4 linked regions of the Tamandua tetradactyla genome follow. The protein of the gene in region 1 binds, or shares a complex with, the protein of each later gene. Links are inferred from orthologs where the notes say so. Each region holds a gene or a part of one and is shown on either strand. Other genes may lie near its edges. The genes, in order: MED1, RXRA, MED24 and RARB.

Evidence for each region.
Region 2: the proteins of MED1 (region 1) and RXRA are in contact, whole or in part, in a crystal structure (PDB 1XDK), measured with the Mus musculus proteins. The link is inferred for Tamandua tetradactyla from reciprocal best matches to the Homo sapiens genes MED1 and RXRA. Residues at the interface, in NP_001073587.1 of Mus musculus: Asn641, His642, Pro643, Met644, Leu645, Met646, Leu648, Leu649, Lys650, Asp651; in NP_035435.1 of Mus musculus: Phe282, Val285, Lys289, Phe294, Leu299, Gln302, Val303, Leu306, Arg307, Thr454, Phe455, Glu458, Met459, Glu461, Ala462, Pro463.
Region 3: the proteins of MED1 (region 1) and MED24 are in contact, whole or in part, in a cryo-EM structure (PDB 8T9D), measured with the Homo sapiens proteins. The link is inferred for Tamandua tetradactyla from reciprocal best matches to the Homo sapiens genes MED1 and MED24. Residues at the interface, in NP_004765.2 of Homo sapiens: Phe375, Asn377, Gly436, Leu437, Gln439, Glu441, Ser453, Asn459, Asp460, Ser461, Leu462, Val463, Cys464, Tyr480, Lys481, Gly482, Asp485; in NP_055630.2 of Homo sapiens: Lys7, Ile10, Trp14, Lys15, Arg17, Leu47, Ala50, Met51, Ile52, Gly53, Pro54.
Region 4: the proteins of MED1 (region 1) and RARB are in contact, whole or in part, in a crystal structure (PDB 1XDK), measured with the Mus musculus proteins. The link is inferred for Tamandua tetradactyla from reciprocal best matches to the Homo sapiens genes MED1 and RARB. Residues at the interface, in NP_001073587.1 of Mus musculus: His642, Pro643, Met644, Leu645, Met646, Leu648, Leu649, Lys650, Asp651; in NP_001276689.1 of Mus musculus: Ile264, Val267, Lys271, Phe276, Ile281, Gln284, Ile285, Leu288, Lys289, Pro435, Leu436, Glu439, Met440.

Annotation. Positions count from the first base shown.
Region 1 is NC_135332.1:27,776,007-27,783,027, reverse strand, and holds the start of MED1 (mediator of RNA polymerase II transcription subunit 1), read right to left. Parts: upstream 3,002-7,021; 5' UTR 2,771-3,001; coding exon 2,746-2,770; intron 973-2,745; coding exon 866-972; intron 468-865; exon of another isoform or gene 1-467. UniProt on the Homo sapiens protein: Component of the Mediator complex, a coactivator involved in the regulated transcription of nearly all RNA polymerase II-dependent genes.
Region 2 is NC_135328.1:13,494,751-13,501,935, forward strand, and holds the start of RXRA (retinoic acid receptor RXR-alpha), read left to right. Parts: upstream 1-4,167; 5' UTR 4,168-6,859; coding exon 6,860-6,995; exon of another isoform or gene 6,996-7,000; intron 7,001-7,185. UniProt on the Homo sapiens protein: Receptor for retinoic acid that acts as a transcription factor.
Region 3 is NC_135332.1:27,219,870-27,226,868, forward strand, and holds the start of MED24 (mediator of RNA polymerase II transcription subunit 24), read left to right. Parts: upstream 1-3,998; 5' UTR 3,999-4,062; intron 4,063-4,075; exon of another isoform or gene 4,076-4,166; intron 4,167-4,422; 5' UTR 4,423-4,503; coding exon 4,504-4,633; intron 4,634-4,717; coding exon 4,718-4,800; intron 4,801-6,999. UniProt on the Homo sapiens protein: Component of the Mediator complex, a coactivator involved in the regulated transcription of nearly all RNA polymerase II-dependent genes.
Region 4 is NC_135341.1:62,707,059-62,714,095, reverse strand, and holds the start of RARB (retinoic acid receptor beta), read left to right. Parts: upstream 1-4,020; 5' UTR 4,021-4,728; coding exon 4,729-4,885; intron 4,886-7,037. UniProt on the Homo sapiens protein: Receptor for retinoic acid. Retinoic acid receptors bind as heterodimers to their target response elements in response to their ligands, all-trans or 9-cis retinoic acid, and regulate gene expression in various biological processes.

The sequences.
Region 1 (7,021 bases):
TAGACATCAAATACAGGTCTTCTGACAGCAAATTCATTACTTCTGCTAATGCTATGCCACTAACATGCTCATTTTAAATGTTAATATATCTATCAAACTGAACAACATAAGAAATGGTGAGGTGACGGGGCAATTTCATTGAAATATAACATGGATAGAAAAGTACATGAATCACATGAACCATCTCCATAAATTATCACAAAGTGAACACACCCATACAACCACAGCCCAAGTCAAAAAACAAGTTTTCCTACATCACTGCATATTTTGACTACTACTGGAATCAAATGCATGGCCTTTAACATCCAGCTCTGAGACTGACCCTGTCTTCCACATTACTGGTTAAGGGCTTCCTGTACTGGTGGTTGATTCAGGGGAATGAAATGCAGTACTGTTGAGAAAGAATTTGACAGACTGGACAGGTGTAAACCCAGAGTTCACCTTTATTAAGAATGAACCACACACACACACACACACACACACAAAAGAATGAACCACAACCTCTACTAACAACATAGACACTGTGAAAGTAATGTTACATTAGAATCAAGGAGCTTGAGAGGAATTGAAGAATAAGTTATCTTTTTAAACCAGTGTATGAAACATGACCCTCATGGGTACATTTCTTAGCACCTCTGCCTAAAGTATCCCAGTACTATAACTCACCATGAAGAGTATTTTAAAAAAAAACCTGCTTCCCAGGTAGAGTCTAAAATTGAGAGCCACCAATGTACTCAGGTGTTTTATGTTAAATAAAATTGAAGACACACTATAATAACTAATTTGAACAAGTCCACATGGGGAGCCAATCTTATTAAATAATTCTCGAAATGCAACACTTAACCAATTTTACCACAATCCTCACCATGACTTGACGCACAAGTTTAATGGTTTCACTCCAAGGTCTATTTTGGTTAAATTTTGCATGGAGGCGTTCCAAAAGAGAACTCATCTTACTCAGCTTTTCCGACTCTACAATATAAATCAGAAAACATCATTAGACACTCTTTTATCAAGACTTTGCAGCTTTTCTTGCAAGAAAACTCCATACTTCATCCTGGTAAGAACACATTTTAAATATTTTTCATCATTTACTTCAAAACAGAGAGAAAATATTTTTAATAACAGGAAAACACACATATTATGGATCTAACCTAAGGAACACCATAGAACAGGATTGCTTTCTATTCAAACTTTACATGGGAACCAAAAGAAGAGTCATCTCTAATCATGTTTCAGGATCTATCCTACAATTTAGCAACAGGCTCATTTCATGGTATGCATGAAATCCCTGGAATGATAAATGTAGAGCATACATTTGAACACGGCTTTTGCTATGGCTAGTTGCTATTCAATGTGAAAATACTAACTTCCTTAATTTTCTGCATAATTTTGAGACATCAGTTTGTAGGTGTAATCAAGAAAACAGGCTTTATTAGCCATTCAGATATTTCTTATTTCTTTTTAATTTCAACTAAAATTACATCAATAGGGAAGAGATCAATGATCAGAGGATGAGTTTCCAGCACAAGAGAAAGTAAACAGGAGTGTCTCCTGGAATAAGTGCGTGTTCCTCTGCCCTTCAACCATTCTCTAGTTCTTGAGCTGCCTCTTCTGAGCAAGGAGCTGTGCCAGAGACCCCTGCAGTTGTAAAAAACACACAAAATCCCCAAGATAAAAATATATGAGGCGGTGTGGATAAATTAACGTGGAAGTGACCATCACATAAAGCAAAGTGAGATATGCTCTTAAAAACAGGACACATTACTATTGAATACAAAGGAAGAAAAGTTCACCATTGGTTGAGGGGATGTTACAGAAAAGGTGGCAGCTGATGTTGGTATTAAATGATGAGTAGAATGTTCTCAATTAGAGTTAAGGCAATGGGAAAAGATCTTCTAAATCAAGACTCACACTCCTTCCAATGCCCTCTCATCTTCTGGAAAACTGGCTCTTGGGCTGTTTCAGTCAATTTATAATTCTGAACACATTTTTGTCAAAGCCTACTTTCAAGCTTCTTTCTTTCAATCACTATTTTAGGTGCAAACTAGGCAAAACTCCTGCCTCACAGTTTCCATTTCACACCTGTCATTCCTCTGCACCCAAGGAGCAATACTTTTCTTTCTTCAAAAACACACCCCTCTTTTGCTTTGAAAAGCCTAATAATTAACTTTATTGAATGCATAAATCAACAAAAAATTTTTGAGCAACTGTTATGTGCCAGGGACTACACAAAGATGAGTAAGGCAGGGCCTCTGATCTACAAAGTTCAAAATAAAGTAGAGAACATAAGCAAATACTGTGAGCTGGCCGAACTGCAAAGACAGCATTTGAACTGGAGTGCAGATATTTAGAAGGTCTGAGTAAAGTAGCACAGAAAAGTTGTTCCTCAACATTTCTGTGTTAGTCTGGCCAATGAAAGGATGAAATTCAAAGCACTTAAAAAAACATATACTAGCATAGGATCTGACATTCTAGGGAAATGCCAATTTAGGCTAAAAACTGCCCTTGAGGCCCAGCTGATTGCCCCAGCTGAGCACGGAAACTCAACAGAAGTTGGGAGCCCCATTACCCAAAGTCAGATCTCCACCATTATCTGCAAAAGGAGAGTCTAAAACTCACACACATCCCGCCTCCGGGACTCTGAGGAGTGACCCCCGCAAAACATCGGCCCCTAGCCCCTCACACAGGCAAGTCCTTCCTGTTGTGTCCCATCCCTTCCTTTTCTCACCCTCAGTCACTCACCCTCGGTTTCCCCCTGAGCCTTCATCCTGGCGGCGGAGAGGGCCTGAGTCCGCCGCACGAGCAAATACGCTCTTCCCCACTACTAAGAGGGAAACCGAGTTGGCTCGGGCTTCCGGGACGTAGGGCACCAGCAGACCCCACTCCTCCCGGGAAAGCTCAATCCGAAGTCCCCGGCGGCAAGAAGAGAAGGGTGCTCGCGGCCGCCGCCATCTTCCCCAACGGAACTTCCCAAAGATCGCGAGACTAACCGGGATCCTGAGAGAGAGCGAGACAGAGAGACAGAGAAAGAGAGGGGGCGGGGCATAAAAAATCTCGCGAACTTGTTTTATGCTCATTTCTCGCGAGATTTCTTCCAATCCAGCCTTCCCTTTGCTCTAGAGTGTCAGACCTCACGTGGCTCGGTGTTGAGTTTGAGAGCGGGCAATCTTAAACTGCTTTGAGAAAACTGGCTTTTTCTATTTTGGCTCTTAAGCAGTTCGCAAATTTAAAATTCCGGCTTTCTTTACTGAAAGAAAGGAAAGATTACTATTAAAGATGATAACGTTTTCCCCAATATTCTAAATGGAAAATTATGTCAAAAAATATGCTTGTGCTTTGTAGCACAAAGTTCGAAACTAGCCCAACTAAATAACCATTTACCAATTTTTTTAAATTTCAGAAATGTTTCTTGAGCAATTAGAATATATTTGAAGATCTAGGAGATTTCAGGTTAAGGTAAATTTATTTGCAGGAATCAAAGTATCTTATGTTGTTATTTGTATGTAGAGATCTAAAGTGTTCACGGTTGATGTTGTCCTCTTGTGGTCATCGTGAAGACATAAGCACTTAACACTGTAGATATTATTAAATATCTGTATATTTATTAATATACTGTATATTATTAAATCCTTACAAAGAGAAGTTCGGAATAATGCTGCATTCATGACCACTAGAACTGAAAACCCAAGCTAAGCTAGCATTGGGGGAAAGTTCTTAATACAGTTAAAGCTATTTTTTAATGGTTTTTTTTCCATATACTGGTCATTGGAAATAAAATTACCGCTGAAAAGTTGGATTTTACCTAGTTTGCTACAGAATATTAAGCAATGGATCTCTACTGGCTCAGTAGTCTCAGGCTTTTCTCATATTTCAAAAGTGCTATTCACACATCTTCCAAAACCATCCCAGCTAGTACTGCAGTTCAGATTAGCAGTAAAAACAAGTCTTTGGAACTGTCTTAGAACATGTGTATCGTCACATGTATATGTCTAACTATGCTCCGTGAAAGTAGAGTTCAAATTTTCTTTCTTGTCTATTCCTTTTATCTTCATGCCTTTGAGTCATCACAGAGTGAGTTTCTTAGGGCAGGAATTGCCCCATTTCTGAACCCCCACTGCAAGCACTGTACTTGGACCTAGTAGACTGTACTTGGACCTTTCACTATGCCTACAAAGCCGTGCTAGACTCAGCTCTTCTCCCCTTGCCAACGCCAGATCACACTGGCCTTTTACTTCCAGAAGGAAAATTCCTGCTCTCCTTCCCCCAAGGCCCTCCTCTAACAAGTCCGTTCTAACTTCTGAGAGTCCCTCTCCACCCCAAACATTTCACCTCATTCAGGCCTCATTCAGATCTTAATTTGAATGTCTCTTCCTCTAGACAGAAGAAACAAATCTTCTCCGACCCCTGACTTCCATCAGGTATTCTAATTCAAACTTTTCTTTAATAGTACTTTCACCATCAAAATTAATTAATTGGGCTCAGGGTAGGCGATGGCTGAGTCACGAAGGTGCGAGAGGCGCCGTGTGGTGGAGGCGATCGGCGATTTGGTCGGTGTGCGCACTGGCTGTGGGCATTGCTCCGGGTCCTGCGCGGACTGCTTTCCGGGTGAGTGTACTCGGTACAGCGTTTCCTGCGCGACTGCAACTCGGGCCTTTGGCCTGACCCAGCTTTAGAAGAGCTACAAAAAGACCTGGAAGAGGTGAAGGTATTGCTGGAAGAGGCCACTAGAAAAAGAATACGTGATGCACTTACAGCTGAAAAATCCAAGATTTAGATGAAAATCAAGAACAAGATGCAGCAGAAATCACAGGGGAAAGCAGTACCTCTTGAAAATGAAAAGCCGGCGGCTGTGGTTGGTCCGGTTACAACAGGATACACAGTGAAAATAAGTAATTATGGATTGGATCAGTCAGATAAGTTTGTGAAAATCCACATTACCTTAAGTGGAGTTCATCAGGTCCCCACTGATAATGTGCAGATGCATTTCACAGAGAGGTCTTTTGATCTTCTGGTGAAGAATCTAAATGGGAAGAATTATTCCATGATTGTGAACGACCTCTTGAAACCCATCTCTATGGAAGGCAGTTCAAAAAAAAAGTCAAGACTGATACAGTTCTTATCTTATGTAGAAAGAAAGCAGGAAACACACGGTGGGACTACCTGACTCAGGTTGAAGAAGAATGCAAAGATAAAGAAAAGCCCACCTATGACATTGAAACAGGTCCTGGTGAGGGATTGATGAATGTTCTAAAGAAAATTTATGAAGATGGAGATGATGATATGATGTGAACAATTAATAAAGCATGGGTAGAATCAAGAGAGAAGCAAGCCAAAGGAGACGCAGAATTTTGAGACTTCAAGGTTCTTTTGGGAACTGCGATGTGGAAATAGGATAGTTCCAATAAGAGAATGTTGGGGAGCTGCACAGATACAATTTGAGAGCTAATTACTTATATAGCCATCCTGCAAGTAAAGCAATGAATCATCTCCTACTGGAGGATTTATTTAAATAAAATGTGCTTATTATACACTTCATCCAAAAATGGTTTCCTTAGTACACCTGGTCATTTTGTTCAACAAAGGATTATGTTGCGTTATTGCTTGAATTATTAAAAAGCAAGTCTTGTCTAATAAAAATACCACATGTGTTTTTGTTTAGGTAAATGGTAGAAAGCAAAAGTATTTACTTACCTTTAAGTTACTGACATCAACTCCCATCAATGTAAGAATAAGAGTATAACCTGAGCTTCTATATAAAATGTAAATTTGTACCTGTGCTTGAAGATTGCAGTAAAGAGCTTGGCCTTTATCTCTTAGCAGATTAAGCAGTGCATATATCACGCATCAGCTCGCACTTATAATCCAGTCATAAATGCATCTCTCTAGATTTAAATATATTTCTGAATATAGACTTGAAGCTAAATCTTAACTTGACCAGAATAGACAAGCCTCTTTGCATAGTACCAATTAGTATTTTCATGGATCAACTAGTTTACAAAAAGCAATATTCATAAAGCAAAAATGATTTGAAAATTCATCTATTACTGTGTTCAATAAAGTTGGATTTTTGTGCAGTAAAAAATAATAATAATAATTAATTGACTGTATAATGACTGGTTACATGCTGCCTTCTCTAGACAAGTGAGCGCCAGGGAGCTACACTGGGTCTGTTTCATTCACTGCTGTCTCCCCGGGGCTTAGCACTACTCCTGCACGTGTCAAGGACTCAATGCATGTTTCTGGAACAAATTAATAGGGTTCCCCAATAAAATGCAGGATGCTAAATTAAATTTTAAATTCAATAAGTAATGAGTACGTTTTAACATAAAAGTATTTCCCAAATATAACATAAGAGAAATGTTATGTAAATCTGGCAACCCTAAAATTGATGAAGGACAAAGAGCTTCTGTCCAAATGAGAATTTTGAAGATGGTTCATATTTAGAATGTTGTAATCTTTCCTGTTGTCAAAAAAATGCTCTTCATTTAACAAGTATCTACAGAGTTCTAATATGTGTGTTTTAGGAGCTGGTAATATAAAGATGAAAACCCAGCCTCAACTCTTGATAGACTCCTCGATTTAGGTTTTGATTATATGGTTGGCCACTGTAATCATGGATGCTCAAAAAATCTTTGTTAATTATTATACTCAAACTATCAATGTTAGGTACACGGCTGCATTTTCTTCTGTAAAATCTATGCAAGTAAGGTATAATGTCTGTCCTAAATGTAGCTAGGACATTTTAAGCCTTATAAAGCTTATTAATTTTGGTCATAGAACAGAGTATGTTATACCTTCTCATATGTAAGTGCAGATAAAAGGACACAATTGAAAAAATTGTACCCTAGAAAGATCAGAGAGACATGACAATAAACAAGAAGAGCATTGGAGGTACACATGGGAGCAATCTTCATAAATATGGCTATGGGCAAATTTCACTCAAATTACTAAGCTTTGGGGAAGGCTCCAGAGGACTCTTTAAATCTAAAATCTAAACTAATAGATTGGGTTTGTGAAA
Region 2 (7,185 bases), on another chromosome or scaffold:
AGAATTCAAAAGCCACTCATCTCACAGTACAGCTGGGGAAACTGAGGCCCAGAGCAGCACCTGCATTTGAGCAGGGGCTCCTTCTCCTGACTGTCTGTCTGATGGACCCACTATGGGAGGCCTGGCCAAGACGGCTGGGTGTCTCGGAGGGGGCTGCCCTGGGCTCCCAGGTGCCGGAGCTCAGTGCTGTTCCCTGGCAATCTTGAGCTAATTAATTACTGCATGAGCAGGCACTGTGTGTCAGGGGTTGAGGGGGCTAGGAGCAGGGGTGGGCAGCCCTGCATCCCAGGGAGGTGGCTGACCCCAAGTGGGAGGGCTGGATTGCATTCTCTGGAACTTGTCTGAGAAAGAGCCCCTCTCCCAGGTTCTACTCTAAATCCCCAAAGCCCAGGAATCATCTGGGGCTGGGAGCCAGGAGAGCAAGGGGTCTGGAGCCAGGCATGGGTGAGGTGGCAGCAGGTATCCCTTCCCCAATGCCAGGCTACCTGCCCCCTGAACCCCGCCCAGCGTGGTCTGACCCTACCTGTCCTGAAGTCTCCAGGAGCACACTGCCTGGCCCCTGGGCCCTCCTGCTGGGTTCCCCCTGGGGCCTGTTGGAAAAGAAGGCTTGGCTCTGGAAGGGGGTTTGGGATGTGATCTGGGTGGGCTGGGGAGGGACTCCCTCAACTGGGGAGGGGGTTCAGATCCAGGCAAGCACGGTGTACAGGATAATTAGCAAGTGCTCATGCTGGCTGCGGGCTGGGGTTTTCTGTGTATTGGATGGTCTCTGCTTGCCGAGAGGTGCCCGTTTTACCGTAGAGGAGGCCAACTGAGCCCCAGCGATAACTCTGCCCTGTGCCGGGCCGGGGTCTCAGAGCTGGGCCCATGTGCGTCACTTTGGAGGGCCGGCCGCCTGAGCCCCTGTGGGCTGCAGATGTTGCTTGTGGTTGGAGAGGGAGCAGCTGTCCCTTCCCTGCAGCCACCCCCATGTGTCACGGGCCTGGCTTTCCCCGTGGCCAGAGCCTTGCGGGCTCCTCCGCCCAGTGGTGTTGGCAGATGTCCTGCAGTTGGACCCCAGCTTATCGTGCCCAGCTCTGAGGTCCTGGGTGAGCCCTGTTTGCACCCAGGGCCTCAGTTTACCTTTCTGAAGGTGTGGCATCATGGGTCGGGGTGGGTCCACGCTGGTGGCACTGGCTCTATGTCCAGTGCCCTAGAGGTGAGTGCCAGCACTGCAGTGATTCGCCTCCTCCCTGGGTGGGATTGAGTGGGCCATGGGCCCTTCCCTAGGTGGAGGATAAATCGGGGATAGGGACTGCTAAGAGAGGACTGTTGGCCGGAATGTCCATGTCTTGGGGTCCCTGGGCATGTGGGCTGCCCCGGGCAGGGCTGAGTCCTTGGGAGCCTCCACCTGGGCTGGGAGGGGGTGGTCCTGGGCCCAATGCTGTGCCTGTGGCTGGAGGGAGGGCACCCAAGCCTGAGGGTGGCAGGGCCATGGGGGAGGGGGGCTGATGTAGAGTGGGGATCCCCGTCTGGTCCCAGACCCATCCAGTGGCTGTCAGCACCCTGGGGTGAGCCCCATTTCCCCCCCCCGCAACCCAGGGTCTGGGAGCCCTTCTCTGTGGTCAGGGACTCAGGGGGTTTCCTGAGCCACCTGCGTCCAGGGGTGCCCTCATGCCACAGGCAGCAGGGTAGCACTTGCAGCCCACCGCAGGGGTGCTAGGCAGGCTTTTCTGTGAGCGCTGAGGACGTTGGGTTGGCACCTGTGTGCTGTCTGAGGGCAGGGGCGCCCGACGTTTTGTGTCTCTCGCCGTTTTAGCCATTTGGAAAACATAAGAGGCTTCTCTGAGCACTTTACAGCTAGAAAAAGAAAAACAACCCTCGAGGAGAATGGCTCCTACCTCAAGGGAGCAGGGGGTTTTGTTGGAGCCACAGATCACCAACACTCAGTTTCTTTCTGTTCCCTAAATCTGAAGGTGAATTAAGGCATCTCACTTGAACTGTTGAGGTCAAAATTGCTCTGACTGTGAAGTTCAGGCGTTAAAGGAGATGGTCCAGAAGCGATGGGAAGGCAAGGTGTGTGTTCACAGTTGGGGCTTTTGGGTGGTGGTCAGGTGGACGCAGGGCTGCTGCCACTTCAGGGAGCACTGCCTCTTCAGGGAGCACTGCCTCTTCAGGGAGCACTACCTCTGTGCCCACATGCTGGGATGGACCAGCCGACAGGCCTGAGGAGGGGTATAGGGTCAGCACCTCAAAAGGTGGTAACGGAAATAGCCCTTTCCTGGGCACCCAGCTGTGCAGGTGGCCTGGCAACCATTCCTGGGCATGGCTCGGACAGGTCAGGTCAGGGTTTTGGTGGGACCCCCTCCCCCAATGCCTGGAGCCCCTCTGGACTCTCAGGTCTGCTGCCTGGTCCTGGCACCTGAAGTGGAAAGTGCTGTAGCTGTGGACAGAGGTAGGTCAGCTCAGGCTGGGTTGTGCCAGGCAGAGGGTGGCAGCCATGGCACAGTGGGAGTTTAGGGAAGACAATTTGAGGGGCTAGCTTTGTCCAACCCTGCCCCATGCTGGCATGCAGCTGCCAGGGAACACCTGGGCCTCAACGTTGGGTTGTGGGAGGAAGGAGTGTGGGGTGAGATGTCCAAGGCTGGGTGGGCCTCCCCGGCCCTGGCTTGGGGTCCCAGCCTTTGAGCATCCTCCATCAGGACCCTGAATCTCTGCCTCTTCTTCCACCCACCTTCCCTGATACATTTGAGGACACTGCCCCAGCCAGGAAGGGGCAGGCCTCCCGCGTCTGGGGGCATCTCCCAAGGTAGAGAATGGAATCTTCGGTGGCGAACGTGGGCAGCGCTGGGGACTGAGAAGGTGGACTGACCAGGGGCCTCCAGAGAGCACCTGATGCGGTCCCACCCCCATAGTCTGCTGCGCCTGGGCCGAATGCTCTCCAGGTCCCCTCTGTACCCTCTGTCGGAGCCCAGGCCAGGGAGACATTTGGGGTCTGGGTGTGGGGTGTAGGGACAGAGCAGACCCCTGCCTTGGCTGGTGGAGTTGGCAGACCCACCTGCTTGCAGGACACATCCTGGGGGAAGGCCGAGTGTTCTTGCGGCCTTGGCTGGCCCATGGGCCGTGGCTGGGCCGGCCGAGACCCCCTTCCCCTCGGTGGCCCCCCAGTGCACTGTGCATGGGAGCCAGTGATCAGGTCGGGTGTGTGGACTGGGGCCACCGGGCCACCCTCAGCCATCATGAGAAGGGCCCATTTGAGACCAATTTGCTGTCCCTTGCAGGCCGTAGAGCCCTCACCAGGGGACGCTGTGAGGGGCTGGGCTGGGCCAGGCAGGTCAAGGGGTGTCATTAGACACTCCCTGCAGGGGCGAGGAGACGTATCAGCTGGAAGAAATACCCGACATCCCCCTCTCCACTCTCATGCCCCTTCCCCCCTCTATCCTGGGTTGAACCTGACCTAGGGCGTCCTGGCTGGAGAGGGCTGCCTGGGGAAGTGAGCTCTAGGAGATTCTGCTTTGCCAGAACCTTCGTGGACCATGGGGGTGTCCATGGCCCATCTGCACCCCACCCCTTTTGGGGGATACTGTTGACATTGTTAGGCATGGCTCATGCCAGGCCCAGCTGTGGGAGATGCTCCCAGGACCCCCTTGGGAGCCCCCTGGGTGGCAGGGCCTTGGGGTGGTGTGCTTGCAGCTGTGCTGGCGCCATGGAGGAGAGGCTGGGCCTGGGAGGCGTCTCTGCACAGCCACTGGCTGGGTGGGTGGCCTCCCCGGGGGGTGTGCTCATGGCCTCCAGGGGGAAGGGCTCATTTTCCTCTCTGCCGTGGCCCCCCCTCTTGGGTCCAGGTCCACTGGGCCTTGGCATGGGCTCAGGAATTCCAGGCTATCTCAGCCCCTTCCAGCTTCCTCAGCAGGGCGCAGAGCTGCTTCTGTCCTCGCGGCCCCATCTGGAAAGCGTTAACACCGTGTCAGCGGCAGAGGGCCGGCAGTGGCGGGCTCCTGGGGGAGCGGAAGCCGCCTCCTCCCCAGCACACCCCCCGCAGCCACTCCTGCCCTCGGCTCCATCCCCAGTGAGTTTGTGGAGGCCAGGCCTGTGGCCAGCAGGGTGGGGCTTGAGGCTGGGGAGGGGCGGGTAGGCTGGGGGGAGCTGGTAGGGTTGAACGTGCTGGGGGAAGGGTGAGAGGTCTGGGGAAGGGGCAGACCCTGGTGGCGGAGGGGGAGGGGCACACCCCTCCCCCATGGGGCTTCTAGGGGCTTGTCCTTGAGGGGCCTTTGAAGCCTGCCACCTTCTAGCTACAGCCGGCCCACGCATATTCCTGGTGCCCACATGTCCCTCCAGTGGGAGACACGAATGGGGGACCCACATCCACTCTCTGGCTCCCCTCCCTTACCTGCCTCAGCTCCTGGCCCCATCCAGCCCATTCTGGGCAGCCAGAGCTGGTTCCCAGGCCTTTGTGCTGACCCTGCAGGAACGGCCTCATTCGGCTGATGACACTTGTTAGTGTGGCCTTCTGGACATTCCAGCCCTGGGACGTCCCTGCCTACCCCACGTGACCGGCCATCAGACAAACACTGCTGGGCTCATGGTGAAGCTGTGCCTTCCTCTCTGGTGCCACCTGCTCGGCCGGGACACCAGGCTGCAGATAGGCCTTGGGCTCCTGTGGCCGCTGGGAACCTGGCTGCAGTAGGCGCGGGAGCAGGGGACAGGCGTCCCCAACTGAAGCCTAGCGGTCCTGGGGCTGCAGCACGTACCTTTAGGCTGTTTTTCCCTCCATCTCCCCCAAGCTGGTGAGGGACCTGCAGCCCCATCATCACTTCATTGTCACTCTAAAGGGCCCGTGGTGCTCATTCCCACGAAAGGGCACTCGGTAAACAGCTTGGGGGTCTCTGAGCCCCATCCCCTTGGAGTAGCTTTCCCTGCTGGCAGAGTCCACCCTGTGCCATCAGGGCTCTGCTGGTGCCTGGCTGAGCTGTGGGAGAACTTAGCCAGGTGCCCAGGGAAAGGTACTGGTCTAATGGAAGAAGGGCAGCCAGGCTGCAGTGAGAATATCCTTCTTGCTGTCCCCACTTTGGGGACCTGTGGGGCTCAGGTGGCAGAGGGCTCCGAGGAGCTGGCTGTCCTGCTTTCACTAAGAAGCCGGTGGTGTCGTCCTGCATTCGACAGGTACACATGGGTGTGTGAACATTTTCATGCCTGCACACATGTGTGTGAGACAGTCAGGCAGAAGTAAAGACAGACAGACAAATGGAGACAGAGTTCCAGAGCCCTGGAGCAGCCCCTGGGCCTGCTGGCTGCCTCTGTGCTGTGGTCAAGACTGCGCCTTCCTGCCTGACCAGGTGGCTGGGGACAGCGAGGTGACCCAGGCCTTGCCGCCTCGTTCCTGTCCCACGTGCTGACATGGAGGCGTGGGCTCCTTGCAGAACTTCCCATGCAGGACTCTCACGCCTGGTTCATGGCTGCTGCTCACCCTGGCTCCCAGGCTCCCTTGGCTGGTAGGCCCAGCCCTGGTATTGCAGATGGACTCTGGGTGCTGCCTTTGTACCTGTGAGGAACCTGCCCTCGCCTGTGCCCATCCTCAAGGACGGGGGTCCATCCCCGAGCCGTGGGCAGCAGGGAGCTGGGAGGTGCCATACCAGGGCCAGCCTCACCCTTCCCATGGCAGCTGGCAGGGGAGGTGGCAGTGGCCCTTTCCCAGGAGCTGCTGCATGTCAAAACCGGTCCCTGACGCAGCCCATGGTGTTGAAATAAGAGCTCGCAGGTTTCCCAACATCCTGTCTTCCGGTCACAGGACCGGGTGTCAGGCGGCCCTCGTGGGGTCCAGGCACCCACTTCCCTCCCTGGGACTCCGTTTCCTCATCGGGTGAGTGAGAGGAGGTCACCCCTCCCTCACGGCTGCTGAGCACACAGGCGGAGGGCATGACGTTTGGCAAGGTGACATCACTCCGGGTCCATGTCATCTTATAACGTCCCCATTTGACAGTGGGGGAGACTGAGGCTCAGTTGCTTGCCTTGGAGTGGAGGGGCGGGATTTGAACGCAGGTGTTTCTGTCCTCTTTTTCTCCTCCCACGAGGAAGAGAAGAGGGGAAGAGGTGGGTGGGGTGTCTGGCTGACATGGGAAGGGCAGTGGCCCTGTGCCCAGCACCCTGCCCTGTCTGAGGGCCAGCCTGGGGTCTGACCTTGGCTGCCCTGAACTGGACCTATAGGCCCTTTGCTGGGCTGGCCACCCTTCTTGAGGTGGGACCTGGGGAGCCTCGGGCAGCCCCAGTGAGCATCTCTGTCCCTTTGGCTGCAGTGGGCCTGGCCTGTGAGTGGGCAGGGAGAGTGGCTGCTGTGGGGGTGAAGTACAGTTGTGGTCCCTTGTTCCAGATAGTGGCTCTAGGGGATACACTGGGGCCCTCCCCTAACCTGGGTGGGTGTTCTTGGGTCTGCTGTTCAGGGGAGGAGATGGAGGTGCAGAGAGACTGAGTGACCAGCCTGGGGACACACGGCTGACAGGCAGGGTCTACTGCTGGACAGTGCAGTCCTACTCTCTGAATTCTGTCTCGGACATGGGAAGAGAGGACACAGTGGAGCGTTATGCACTCAGGGTGGATTCTGTCTGCTGTTCTGTGCTCTGTGACCTAAGCCTGTCTCCCAGCCTCTCTGATCCCTTAGGGGCCTTTGTGGGCTGGGCATGGAGATGGTTGACAGTTCTGAAATCCTGCTCTGTCGGCAAAGGGGCAGTGCGGGAGGCTGGGGAGGGGCGCAGGAGCCGACCCGACCCCAGCCCGATGCCCTGCCAGGCGGGGCCTGGGATTCTACGAACCCTTGTGGTCAGACCTCACCCAGCTGTGGCGTCTGCCTGTCGCCTGTCAGCAGGGGAGGGGCCCCGGGCCGTCTCTTATGGAGGAGGAAGTAGGTGCCCAGAGAGGGCAAGGGGCTTGGCCTGGGCCGCACAGCAAGGCGCCGCAGAGCTGGGGGCAGCACAGAGAGGTGGTCGCCGGGAGACCTGGCCTGGGGAGGTGGATGTGGCGCTCTGGTAAGGTACAGACTGCCGGGGGCAGGGTGGGAGGAGACGTGGGTTCTAGCCTGTGGTCTGTGGCAAGTTTAGCCTGGGCTAGGATGGCAGTCGTGGTAAGGATGGTGCTGACCAGGGTAGCTCTACTTGATTGAGCATGTGCTGTGCCAAGAACCGTGGCCTGTGCCGCCTGCACAGGGGCATCTGTGAG
Region 3 (6,999 bases), about 560 kb from region 1:
GGGCTGCCTGAGGATTTGGGAGAGAATCCCAGCACATGAGATACACTTATACTCTGCAGTGAACCAGGCAGACCAGGAGGCAGTGAAGCGGCCCCAGCAGTAATCGGGCTTAGGGGTGGAATAAAGGGGTCTAGAGGGAGAAGAAGAAGGGCTGTGGCTTTGTCTTTATTCCATCCTGGCTTGCTTACCACATCTCTCTTTGAGCCAGTTCCTAAAGATGTTGGGTAAAGGAGACATTTTTAAATCCTAGAGCCAGAGCTGTAGAAAGGAAGCAATTCCTGAGTTACCTTTCCCCCTTGCCCCCCCCCCCCCATCTCAGGGGCAATGTAGGGCATCTTGAACTCAAACACAAAGAACTCACCATTCCCATCTTTTCTTCTTACTTCTCTCTCTCTCCTTGGCTCCCAATATGGGCTGGTGGCAGACTTAGGCAAAGGCAAGGTGAAGGACACACTGCCTCCAAAGCAGGCATCTTGCCAGGTGCCAGGAGCCAGCCCAGGTTGGGTTTACAGCCCCTGCCCCTGGTTGCACTATCCCCCTTCCCAACCCCACTCTCTTACCCACTCCCAGTTTCTTGAAGCTTCCAGCTCTTCTCAGATTCTGTTCAGTCCCAGCTCCTGTTCTCTACTGGCCATGAACCTCACACCAGGTCTCCATTGGCACCATCCCCTCCCATCCCCCTACTTCGCTTCACAGCAAGCCCTGGGTCTGTGGGGAGAGAGGGAGGGTGGAAAATGAGTGAGAATAGATAGGGACCCTCAAAGGGGATTTGTCTGACAGCCCCCTCCCTCTTAGATTTTGGTTGCCAAGGAGGCAGCAGGAACAGCCTGTTCTCTGGGCTCCCACTGAAACAGCATGCCCAGACTCCTCCCTCTCTTCCTCCCTTCTTTCCTCCCTCCCTTCCTTTCAGCTGTTGCTAGGAAGCACCCCAAGATTTCTTGAGGGTCCCACCCCTAGGAACCAGGGGGTCCAGATATCCTTCTCAAAGCTTCTCCCCAAAACTGGCATCCAAGCCCGCACACAGTGTCCTCATCCCTGCCAAGAAGCCTTGCACATCCCAAGCAGTTTAGGGGAGCAGGGACAGGCCCTCTGCCAGTCAGCCCTGGAACGAGCTCTGTGGCCCTGGCCTTGGCGATTTCCCTCCTCCACCCCTTCCCATCTCGCTTGAACCTCTTAGGCTCTGGGTGATGTCAACATGTGGTAAGGAGGTGTACAGCAGATACCCTTTGGCTCCACAGACACAGCCCCACTCATTGGGGTGCTCTGGAAATGAGACACCATCAGCTAAGAGAACCCCAAACCCAGATGTCTCTCTCCATTAGTGTTCTCCAAATCAAGAAGAGATGATGGAAATGGAGAGGAGAGGGAGAGGGAAAGGTCGAAACAGTTATGTGGAGTTGAGAATCAAAGGTCCAACAAAGATGAAGGACTGGGAAATTAGCAAGCAATCACGCAGACAAGAGGAAAGTCACAACTTTACACTTAATTCCCCCCTTTCAATCACCTTTGTCCCATCAGGCACCCTGGTCCTGGCTCATGAAGAGGTGCCCAGGGAAGGGATTTGGGTCTTGCTGAGCCTTGTTTTTTCCCTAGCTGAGGTGAGAAGTGGAAAAAGAAGATAATTTCTCAAGGCTGCCTTTCAGATTTATCCCCCTGTATTCATTCACTGAACATATTTTTTGAGTGTTTAATATGTTCCAGATATTGGATCCCCCAAACTTTCCCAACTTCTGTTTTTGCTTTCCCAGAGAGCTCCCTTATCCTTCCCTTTGCCAGCAGAAGAAAGAAGTGGCGGGGAGGTCTCTATTTCCATCAGGGTCTGCATCCCTGCTACAAGAGTTGAAGGTGAAGATGAATCACTTTGGTGTTGAGGCAGAGTTTAAGAAGAAGAGTTACAAGGGCCTGGAGGGAGGGGTGGTGCAAAGAAAGTAGCAGACTGGCCCCCCTTCCCTATCACTCTCCCCCTGTGTGCTGGGGGCGTGGAGGGAGAAGGTGTCCTCCAGGGTGTTAGAGAGGAAACAATTCATGATTAGTTCAAATTCTGCCTTTCACTGTCCTGGCCAGTCTCTTTCTGGACTTCTTGTGGGAAGTCAGGGACAGGGAATTGTGGGGAATTCAGGGGCTGTCCTTGAGATGGAGCCACCTTTTAGGCCCCTCCACCCTCATCTTTTCTCCCAGATAGCTGGAAAGCTGTGATTTGGATTTGGGAACTGATGGGGGAAGGAAAATGGTTTGGAGCCAGCTGTGTATATAAGTGTGTGGGATGGACTCGTTTTCTCTTCCCTCCACCTGCTGCCAATTAACTTCCTATAGTGGTGAGACCCAGGCAAGCTTCTAAAGAAAGATGTTCCTGTTAGGGGAGGGTAATGGCAGTTTTCCGATGGAATGAAAGTAAATGAAACCCTCTGTGCCTTGTATGCTTGCCAAGTATTTCAATCTTTCTTGGGCTTTTGGGGCTAGACACTTGGTTCTTTTCTCTACTAGCCTAAAGTGTTTCCTTTCCCTTGGATATCCCAAATCCCTGGGCCTCACAGCCTTTTCCCCCATCCCACCCCCACTTTGATCAAGCTCCTTTTCTGCCATTGCTCCAGATGTTGCCATGTTATTCTGCCTTGCTGTCCCCTCTTCTCCAGCCAGATCCATTCCCCCGCCAGTCAAGCCAACAAGATGAGGAAGTTGGGGCTCAGGGCTAGGGAAGCAGAGGTGAGAACACAGCCACTATCAGAGCTGAGAAGGAATGGACAGCCAAAGAAAGAGCTCCCCCAGATTCATCCTCCAGGGAAGTGATTTTTGCCTAAGGGGAGCTAAAGGATGGCTGTTGGGAAGTTTGGATAGAGCTTGGATGATTGCCTCCTCAAGGTATGGGATAGTGGGCAGGAAAGAGGGGTGACAGACCACTGACTGGGGGTCTACATGTTTACTCTAGTTCCTAGTTGGAGATGTTAGGGACAGTCTTGTCCATAGGATAAGGCAAGGCTGAAGGCTGTTTACAGGGTGCGTGGCATTTGCTTTTGGCCTTCCCACTGCTGGGAAAGAAGGGCTGGACATAATTATCTACAATAGTACTCCTTAAGATAAGTGAGATATCAAAATTAAAAAAAATAATAATTAACTTTTAATTTTAGAATAGTTTTAGATTTATATAGAGATTGCAAAAATAGTACAGCAGGTTCCCACATAACCTACACCCATATCCCCTTTTATTGAGTCTTACATTAATATAGTACATTTGTTACAATTAATGAACAAATATGGATCCATTATTTGTAACTAAAATCCATGATTTATTCAGATTTTCTCAGTTTTTACTTACTGCCCTTTTTCTCTTCCGGAATCACAACCAAGATGCCACATTGCATTTAGTAGTCATATCAACTTAGGCCCTCTTGGCTGTGACAATTCCTCAAAATTCTAGTTTTTGATAACCTTAATCTCCGTTTCCATCTTCCTTTCCTCTTTACCCCCTATATTTAAGGGGTATAGATAGAGGGTTAGGAGATTCTGAAGACTCTCAGATTTGGGGGGTGAAATGGGTATGTTAGTGCAACTAGCAGAACTTCAGTGTCGCTTCTGGGATACAGGCGTGAAAACGAGAAAACTTTGGTAACCCAGGAGCTTAGAGGGAAAAAAAAAGATAAGGAAAGCGTTGGAACCTATTGCTGAACACTAACACCTCCACTATGCCTATGAACCAGTGGGGGATGAAAAGGTGGCGGAATCTGATTTAAATACCCTGTCGACAGTGACGTCGTTGGGCGACGCCTGACTGCTGGCAAGTTTTCGAGAGCCTCCCACCCTCCACGTTTCTGTGATGCCCAGCTTAGAAGTTCTCCTTCAAAGGCGAGAAACAAAGCAGGCCTTTTAGATTAGTCCTCAGCTTCATCTCTAGCCCGGACAAAGAATTTCCCAGTCCCGGGAACTACAATTCCCAGCAGACGTCGCGGCGGGCCTTTCGCTTGCTGCATTCCTGTTGGCTCATACTTGTTATTCCCAGCAAATGAGAAACGAGCTCTTTGACATGTGCCAAAATGGCGCGATGTGGGCTCTGAACTGGCTTGTCCGGTAGGTTTAAATTGGGGGAGTTAATGGATGAAAAGGAAACAGTGAATTACAGTTTCGGGGCTGGGGAAGATGGGGCATATGAAGTGTCTCTTTTGGGTGTACTAGTGAGTGACGGTCGCAGTCGGAGCTAAGGGTATAATTAAAACAACCGGAACTGGCCGAACCCCTTACTGCTCTGGCTTTACTTCTTGTATTGACTCCTAGTGCCTCAGTCCAAGAAAGGTTAGGTTGGGAGGGAAGAGCCTAACAGGATCCCTACTTTGTCTCCTTCGCTTTTATCCTTCTAGTCCTGCTGTCCCTTCTATCTTCCTGGTCTTGTCTATTTCGTTTAACTCTGCCCTCCCCTTCATTTTCCTCAAGAACTTCGTCTCTTGTTCTGTAGCTCGGTTTATCCTACTTCGGAGGGGGCCGCTAGCGGCCGCGCCTCTTCAGAGTGAAGTTATGAAGGTGGTGAATCTGAAGCAAGCCATTTTACAAGCCTGGAAAGAGCGATGGAGTGACTACCAATGGGCAATCAACATGAAGAAATTCTTCCCCAAAGGAGCCACCTGGGATATTCTCAACCTGGCAGGTCTGAAGTGAAATATGAAGGAAGGAAGGGTGGGATGAACCCAGAAAAATTGTAACCACTCAGTCTTTGTTTTTCCCCTTGCAGAAGCACTGCTGGAGCAGGCTATGATTGGACCTTCCCCCAACCCTCTCATCCTGTCCTACCTGAAGTACGCCATCAGTTCCCAGGTAAACTGCCTTACCTACTTCAAGGAGTGGGAGATTGGAGGTAAAAAACTTGCAATACCATGGTCAGCTCACATTTCTAGGTGAATTTGTCTGAACAGATCACTTTTCTGAGTCTCAGTTTTCTCGTGAAAATAGTAATACTTCACTAGTTGTTATGAATATTGCATTCACTATTCTGTCAATAAATAATGTGCTGGACAATGGATAGGCCTTGGGGATTTAGTTGTGACAAGACCTGATAAAGGATCTCAACCCACAGCACACGTTTAGTGGGTTATATAGACCAGTAAATACTGTCAGTCACAGGATGAGTTTATTAAAGAAGTGCTGCGGGAGTATGTGGGAAGGCACCTAATCCAATCTCAGCAATCAGGGAAGGCTTTCTGAAGGAGGGGGTATTTAAACCAAGACCTGAATATTGAATAGGAGTTAAGCATACTGAGGAGGCTATGCAAAGGGGAGAGAAAAGCATATGCAAAGACTGAGAGGCAAAAATCATATGATGTTGTTTAAGAACAGAAAATAGTTTGGTATGGTTTGGCTAGAGCCCTGGTTCTCAAACTTTTTAGTTTTGGGGCTGCTTTACGTTCTTAAAAATTATTGAAACCCACCACAGAATTTTTGTTTATGTTTATTGTATCTATCCATATTTACCATTTTTGAAATTAAAATTGAGAAACTTAAAAAAATGAATTCATTTAAAAGTAACAAAATAAATTAATTACAGGTCAATATAAATATAACAATATAAATAACATCTTTTTAAAAAATAACCATATTTTCCAAAACAAAAAATGTTAGTGAGGTGAGTGGTATTGTTTTACGTTTTTGCATTTTTGCAAGTCTCTTCAATGTCTGGCTTAACAGAAAACAGTTGGATTCTCACATCTGCCTCAGTTGTCATGATATGCTGCTTAGTTAATGTATAGAAGAAAATATGGCCTCACACTTATAGGTATTTAGTTAGAAAAGGGAGTATTTTAACAAGCTTTTTGGACAACTTGTATATTCTTTGAAGCTACACTAAGATTTAGTAGGTGATGTGAAACCATACCAATGAACTTTATACTGTTACATTAAAATACATTGGGCTCTTCCCTCCCTTCACCTCACTTTGAATTATCCTCTGCTCATGTGTGATTTTGTAATATCATGAATTGGTCATTTAGAAAGTACAGGTTACTGAGTTGTAGAGGTATTCCAATTGTTGACACATTTTGTTATATAATATATGTTATGGAGTCTCTGGTAAACTCCACCGTACAGTTGTGAGGGAATGCGAGTTAAAAGGGCAAATAACATCTTAGTAGTATTTTAAAAAAGGGTTTTGACCTTTAGGACCCCCTGAAAGGGTCTGGGAAACCCCTGGGGGTCCCTGGACCATACCTTCAGAACTTCTAGGCCAGAATATCAAGTTCAAGAAGGAGACTGGTTTGGAGAGAAAGATAGCAGTTAGGTCAAAAAGGACTTGGTGAATGATACTAAGGAGTTTGTACTTTATCCTAGGATAATGGGTAATCACGTAAAGGGTTTTAAGTGGAATTGTGGTAAGATTTGCATTTTTAAATTAACATACAATAAAATACACAGATCTTATGTTCAATTTGATGAGTTTTTTTATGTTATTGTGGTAAAATCAATTGGATGAGTTTTAAAAATTGTATATACCCATGTTACCAACATCTAAAAATAAGACCTAGGATATTTCCATTCTCCTAAAAAGTTTTCTTGTGTCCCTTTCAGTCCATTACTTTCTCCCACAACCACTAAATGATTTCTGTTACCATAGATTATTGTTGGCCTATATTTGTATTTCATAGAAATGTGAATACTCTGTCTTCTTTCACTTAATGTGTTGGGAGATTCACTTAATGTGTTGGGAGATTCATCTATATTGTTGCGTATGTCAGTAGTTTAGTTTTTTCTTTATGCTGAATACAAAGTTCTTGCATATCCTTTTCCCGCTTGGCATTATGTCTACTTGTTAGTGCATTTCCATGTTAGTGCACATCCAACTACCTTATTCTTCTTAAAATGCTGCATGATGTTCCATCTGTACTGTGATTTAGCAAGTTCCCCAATGATGGGCATTTAGATTGTTTTTAATTTTCTATTGTTATAAATAGCACTATACTGAACATCTTTATATTCACCTTTCTGCCTGTCTTGGAATATTTTTTTATTATAGAAATAGAATTG
Region 4 (7,037 bases), on another chromosome or scaffold:
CTGTTGGGCTTGAAGGGGTGTCTTAGTGAATCCTGTACAGCAAAACGCATAGATGTGCTAAAGAGAACAAATATGGAAAGGAAGAGAAGCTTGCATCTTGTCCTAGAGGAACAATGTTTGTAAGTAATCAAGTGGGAGGACTTCAGAGAGGAAATTCTGAAGAAGCAGAGATCAGGAGAGAAAGCAAATGAAGGACATAGTCGCCAAGATTTAAGGAGGAGAGAGATGTTAGAAGAAGAACAAATGTTTCTTGGGGTCTGGAGGATACCCAGCCTCTACAATGATGCCTGGAGCCACCTTTCCAGTTCAAGTTTGGAAAGTGTTTTCTCTCTTCTGGTGTGAGATCCATGAACATCAACAGCCTGTTACATTGGCAGGTGTTCAGTTCAAAGCGCCAGAAGCAAAGTTTCCATGCCTTGAAGAGTGTTAGAACTTCTCACAGCTACTGACAAAAACATCTCTGCCTGGCATCAGCACACTTGCCTTGAGCTGGGCAAAACATTCTTCCTGTCTTCACTTTTCTTCTGAAATACAAACATCACTCAGAACTAGCCATTTATTCTTTTGTCAGAACTGCGCTAAGAAGGGTTTATAGGGGAATTAACTGTAAACAAAGCAAAGCAAAACAGAAACATGAAAGAGGTAGGTGCGCCTTATAAAAATGATTAGCGCTCACCTCTCCCCACCCCTCCTCTGTGTGTGTCTACTTTGTATGCCATGTGCCTGGGTCAGGTATGTCTGTGCCAGCGAGAACCTTATTATTTAAACATCACAAGGCATTTGACCAATTTTGAACACAGCCGGCTACAATGCTGTTGTACACTGAAGCCTGCTCTTTCTTCACAAAACTCTCTAGTTCAAACGTGTTTGCAGAGCATGATTCATGGTGTTTCTTTCTGGATTGTCCAGTGCGTAATTGCTGTACGAAAACCAGAGAAACAGATGTAGACCCTGAACCCTGGCTATAAATTTTTGTTTTATGATTATGGGTTTCAAATGTGCTGTGTCACCCTGACAAATATACAGTTACTACGAAACAAAATGGATTTCACTCTCAAACTTTTGCTTTTTTGTTTGTTTATGGTTAGAAATACTTTCAGTAGAGTTTCTATTATCATTGATCAAACACAATGACACATATCAGAATGTTGTTTTATGAGGAACCAAACAAAAAAAGAATATTTCTTTCAACTTTTTGTCTAATATTTAAAATGGATGTCAATAACTTCATTGTCAACAAATTAACTGGGCCACTTTCCACCTTTTAATACTCATTAAACTTTCTAGTACATGGATACATATTTAAACAATTGTGGCTTATTCTTGGGACTTTCCTTAATTCCGCTTAAGATGAAGAATTCGGAGAAAATCAAGTTTTTAAGGATTGTAAGAATTAGATTTACTGCTTGAGGTAATGATAGATAACAGGTGGCTCAAATGTGGGGTTGCTTTACTAAATTAATACTTGGATTAAGTAATAGCTGTAACAATTGCTATCAGTTTAATTAATTCATGGTGAGAAATGATGAATTGATTGGTGAACATCATTGCATTAAAAGAAACCCATAACATTCTATTCACAAGGATTTAAATGCAGACCGTTCATTTCAAGGCCCCAGTGTTTCTCACACATTCAGAGAACTCTAAGGTGATTATAAATTTTAAACTCTCTTGTGCAGAAAAAGAAAAAACCTAGTCTCCCATCCCCTGCTTCAGACACATTGTGTATTACACAATGACACAGTATTGGGAGAAGAAATATGGGTGTAGGCAGTCTCCCTTCCTAGATGAGGCTGATTCTCTAGCCTAAAACATTGAGAGTGGAACAGAACTTGGGGGACACTCATTGCCATCTTTACTTCCCTGAGGAAAGACGAATGCCCCCCTCTTTTTCGGAAAGACGCTCAGCAAGGAAGTTCCGTGGCTCCCCTGTCTAACAGACACTTGTACCACACACCTTTCAGTGGTGTCTTGTTTCTCATCTCCAACTCAAGTTCTTACTGCTGCATTTTAACTGTAGCTGCGTACTCTCTTCTAACGACATTTCACCCACCTCCATTACTGAACCCAGTTTCCAAGGAACTCTAAGGACCTTCAATAAGCATTTGGAGCTGTTAGCCTCTTGGACCAAATAGAAAGCGGCACATAATGTGGTGCTTTGTGTATCTTTACAACTATCTTAATGACAGTGTGTTAAATGTTTTGTAAATACCTCTGGGCTCCCTTGCTTAAAATGTATGTTTTCTTTGTAGTTAAAGGGTATCTCATAATAAGCTCTGTTACAAAATGATGGCCGTATTAAAAAAAGAAAAGAGAGAAAGAGAAACACATAGTTTCAGCAAAATTTCACCCTTTTATTGCCTGGACTTTTCAATAGCAAGAACTGAGCTTGCTGGGCTGAAAATTGTTTCAATGTACCTTCATAAAAGGATCTCTGACTTAGTAAATGCGCGATGCATACTTTTCATATTACACCACTAGTGCCACTTAGCAACTCTGCTAGACAGCAGAGTTTCAGCATGGGGCGGGGTGCCCCCTGACAGTCTTTTAAAAGGCCTAGATGCCAGTGCACATTCCAGCATGATCCACAAAAAGGAGACAGGAGCAGCATGCTTCCCTGCAAGGGACAAGGAGGCTCTCCCTACCTGCCCACCCTGTTTTGTGGGTGAATTATAAGAAATTCTGGAAAGGAAGGAGAGGTAGCAGGTTGTTTTAATTCCTCTCTCGAGTTTCCTTTCTTTGGTGTGCGTTGCATCCTTTCAGCAAGTTGTGCAAAATAGCTGCAGGTTGGATTAGCTCTCCCTTTTAAAGCTCTCTGTTTGCCTGTTTATTTGTAAATAGTGCATCTGTCCTTCTAGGTGTTTTTAGGCTAAGAAGTGTCTCTTCTCTGTAGGTTGGGCTAGTAGGAAAGGGATTTTTTTTTAGGTTATTCTCTCCTAAAACTACTGTATTTTAGTAAATAGCCAGGATTGTGTTAGGGACTGGTATTTAACAGTCATTTGGTGAAAACTGTCCCTTGGAAACATTAAGCCCTCACACTTAACCAGTTTTCAAAATAGGTGTGTATGTGGTATGTGTGATGATGAGAAGGAGCAATCCAATGGCTATTCATCATGCAAGGATGTGGCAACTGCAAAGTAATTTCAGTACTGGTGAGTTGGGTTCTAGTGGTGGGGGTTTGAGCTGTGTGACCTCAGGCAGGTCTCAGCCTGGCTGAGCTTCTGTTTTCCCAGTTGCAAAATAAGAGGCTAGGTCATAGCTAAGATTTCTTCCAGGAAGCGTACTGAGCACCACACAGGCATTATTTCTTTTTATCCTCCCAGCAACTCACTGGATGAATAGTAGTTTATCCTCATTTTACAGTTGAAAAAACAGACCAAGAGAGGTTAAATAGTTGTCCCTAATCACACAGCTGATAACCAGTAGAGCTGGAATTACAATCCTATTCGGTGCGACTCCCAAGCCCACGCTCTGGACCAGTCCGTTTTCCCGGATCAGGATCTAAAATCCTACATATCTAAGTGGGTGTGTTTTGTGTGTCTAGGCAGGGGTAAACTAATTCTTGACGACTCCATATGCCGTATCATAGACTTGACAGGTTTTGAAGAGTCAATGAATCCAGAAGGCTGGCTAACTCCAGCGCAAGTGCGATCCCTTCGGCCAGGGCTTTTGCAAGGGGGATAAAGAGCAAAAGACTATCGAATGGAAAGTTTCTCAACCCGAGGTTTCCCCGGGGGTAGCTGTTCTCTGCTCTACAATTTAGGGCTTGCATCTGCTTTTTCGGGAGTGGAAAAACATAAGTTACAAGGAATCTAACAGACCGAGAGGCGCTTACAGGAATGTAAAGGGTGGGCTGGCGGCGAGGGGGTGGGCGGGAGGCATGCGGGCAAGGGAGGGGTGGGGACACTCGCTTCCAAGCTAAGCCGCTGTCCTTAATAAAAAAAAAGGCGTAAAGGGAGAGAAGTTGGCGCTCGACGTGAGTCCCGAGCCGCGTCCTGGCTCCTCCCCTGGCTCGTTTTAAAAAACACTTCTTGCATTGTTTTTAAGGTGAGAAATGGGAGCGAGCGAGCCGACGTGTGCGCCCGCCGCCTGCGTCTCGGGCTGTCTGCTTTGCAGGGCTGCTGGGAGTTTTTAAGCTCTGTGAGAATCCTGGGAGTTGGTGATGTCAGACTAGTTGGGTCATTTGAAGGTTAGCAGCCCGGGAAGGGTTCACTGAAAGTTCACTCGCATATATTAGGCAATTCAATCTTTCATTCTGTGTGACAGAAGTAGTAGGAAGTGAGCTGTTCAGAGGCAGGAGGGTCTATTCTTTGCCAAAGGGGGGATCAGAATTCCCCCAGCCGAGCTGTTTGAGGACCGGGATGCCGAGGACGCGAGCGATCCGGCCGGGGTTTGTCTGGGCACGGTCGGGGTAGGATCCGGAACGCATTCGGAAGGCTTTTTGCAGGCATTTGCTTGGAAGGAGAACTTGGGATCTTTCTGGGAACCCCCCGCCCCGGCTGGATTGGCCGACCAAGCCTGGAAAATGGTAAATGATCATTTGGATCAATTACAGGCTTTTAGCTGGCTTGTCTGTCATAATTCATGATTCGGGGCTGGGAAAAAGACCAACAGCCTACGTGCCAAAAAAGGGGCAGAGTTTGATGGAGTTGGGTGGACTTTTCTATGCCATTTGCCTCCGCACCTAGAGGATAAGCACTTTTGCAGACATTCGGTGCAGGGGAGATCATGTTTGACTGTATGGATGTTCTGTCAGTGAGTCCTGGGCAAATCCTGGATTTCTACACTGCGAGTCCGTCTTCCTGCATGCTCCAGGAGAAAGCTCTCAAAGCATGCTTCAGTGGATTGACCCAAACCGAGTGGCAGCATCGGCACACTGCTCAATGTAGGTTTATTTTTTTCCCTTCTTATACCAAGAAAAAAAAATTAATTGTCTCTCTTGCATGCAATAAAGACATTGGAAATAAACTGCATCGGTCGCAAGACAAAGGGTTTAATGATTTAATGCTGCAGGGGTGTGATATGCTGGTGTGCATATTGATTCCCTCTGCTGAAAATTTCCTGTTACATGTTTTCTGCCCAAACAACCCCTCACCCGCCCTTGTTCTTCTCCTTACCAGCCTTACATTTTTGTTTTTGTTTTGTTTTGTTACAGTTTTAAAAATAGGCAGGGGTGGGGCGCAAGTAGAGGGTGACCACAGGACTTTGAAACATTCTTCAAGTAGGGCAGTTGGACACAGTGTGCAGTTTTTACTGCACAGTGTGCAGAGGGGAATTTAACTTTGCTGTTCTTTGGCTTCGCTATTAGTTGTATATTTTTACCCCCCGTGTGGATTTCAACAGTCCAAAGTAATTAAAATATGACATCTTCTCTGCAAGAAATTTAGCCTAATTAAGGTGGCTGCTGCTCCTGAAGTTCATAAACCACCAGTTAAAGCAGCTACCTTCAGTGTTTTCCTTACTAAGGAAAGGCAATATTTCTTACCATTGACCCCGCTGCCACCTTTCCAAGTCACTTTGTTGCTCTAAGAAGTTGCTGTTTTGCTAGAAAACTACTGGCAATGAACACCCCTTGGGCTGAGCCATCCATTATTTCCATATCTTGCGATTCAGCCGGGGACCTAGACTTCGGTTGCAGGAAAGGACATCTAAGTGTGGTAGCCCGGTTTTTAAAAAAAATATTGACTGTTTGGTTATCTGATGCTGACAGGGTGCCGAAGCATGCATCTGGTCAACAGTAGTCTGGCCGCAGGCTTGAGAAATGACCAGAAGTCCCAGAAAATCCCACCTTCGAGTGGCTGGAGTTGGAGCCTGCAGGATGCTTCGCTGCCCTGACAGTGATTTAGATAAATGGCTCGGCTATCTATCAAAATGTTTTTAGTACTTTATTTGACAATTCATTGGAGCATTAGCCTGAAAATGACATTTTAAATCTTTGTTTTCAAAGAGGTCAAAGTTTAACTGGAAAAAATTGAGTTTTCCTAATAACTTAGGTGGCTTATCTAAAGAGAAAGAAGAAAAAAAGGAGAGTGGGAACAATGATAAGATTTAAATTGCCCTCTCTGAAACTTTTTCTTTTAAGAATAAAGCCTTGCTTCTTGGGCCAGGAAATCAACAGGTTTGTAGCTGAAAAATCAATAATCTTTTGATGTCAACAGTTAGGCTGTCTGATTTAACATTTCAGAGAGCCAAAAGTAGGGCAAAAAGATTATTGTTTCAGTAGGCATCTTAATCTTTCGCTGCTCCCCAAATGTCTTTTTTTCCTGCTGCCTATTTTCTTTCTGGAGAACTCAAACTGAGTGTTACAAAATAATTTCCCATCCCACTAGCAGATCTTTTAGACTTGTAGCAATTAAAACAGCACGAAGGAGGTCATCTGGAATCCTAGTGAACTGGGTCTCTCTGAAACTTTTTCTTGTGAGAGAAAGTTCTAGTGGAGCATAATTTTTAGCAGAAAGGAAAAAAAATTGCTCAGGATCCTGGCGGAAAGTTAATAAACCTAATAGAACTTTTTTTCCCTAACATGTAGACATTCCCTCTTTTGTAATTAACCCTCCAAACATGCCTATTAAGTCGTAGGAGCTGGGGAAAAAAGCTTTGTTTATTCTTGAACAAGTTAAACAAGGGATTTGCCTTATCTGGGGAGAAAGAGTGGTGAATGTGTCATTTGCCTAGGGCTAGCCGATAAGCAAGAAGTGTTGATAACAGCAAAGTTGAGCTAATCAAAGAACTTGCTTTAGAAAAAGTAAATATAGGCATTTGACAAAGGGATTTCAGAAATTCCAGTGTCTTATTTTTGTAAGCAGGGCAATTAGTGCTTATTGTGGTCAGTTTCAGAAGGGTTTGAATCCCACGTCCAAACTTGAGGTAAAATGAATAAAATGTAAATATTGCTTGTGCTCCTGCAGAGTTGCTTTATCCTCCATAAACCGCGTTATAACTGGCCACTTTAGTTGTTCAAGCGATTAAATTTGTGAACATAATTGAAAGCTTAAAAAAAAAATGCTAACAAATATCTGCCACGCAATGTTTGGTTC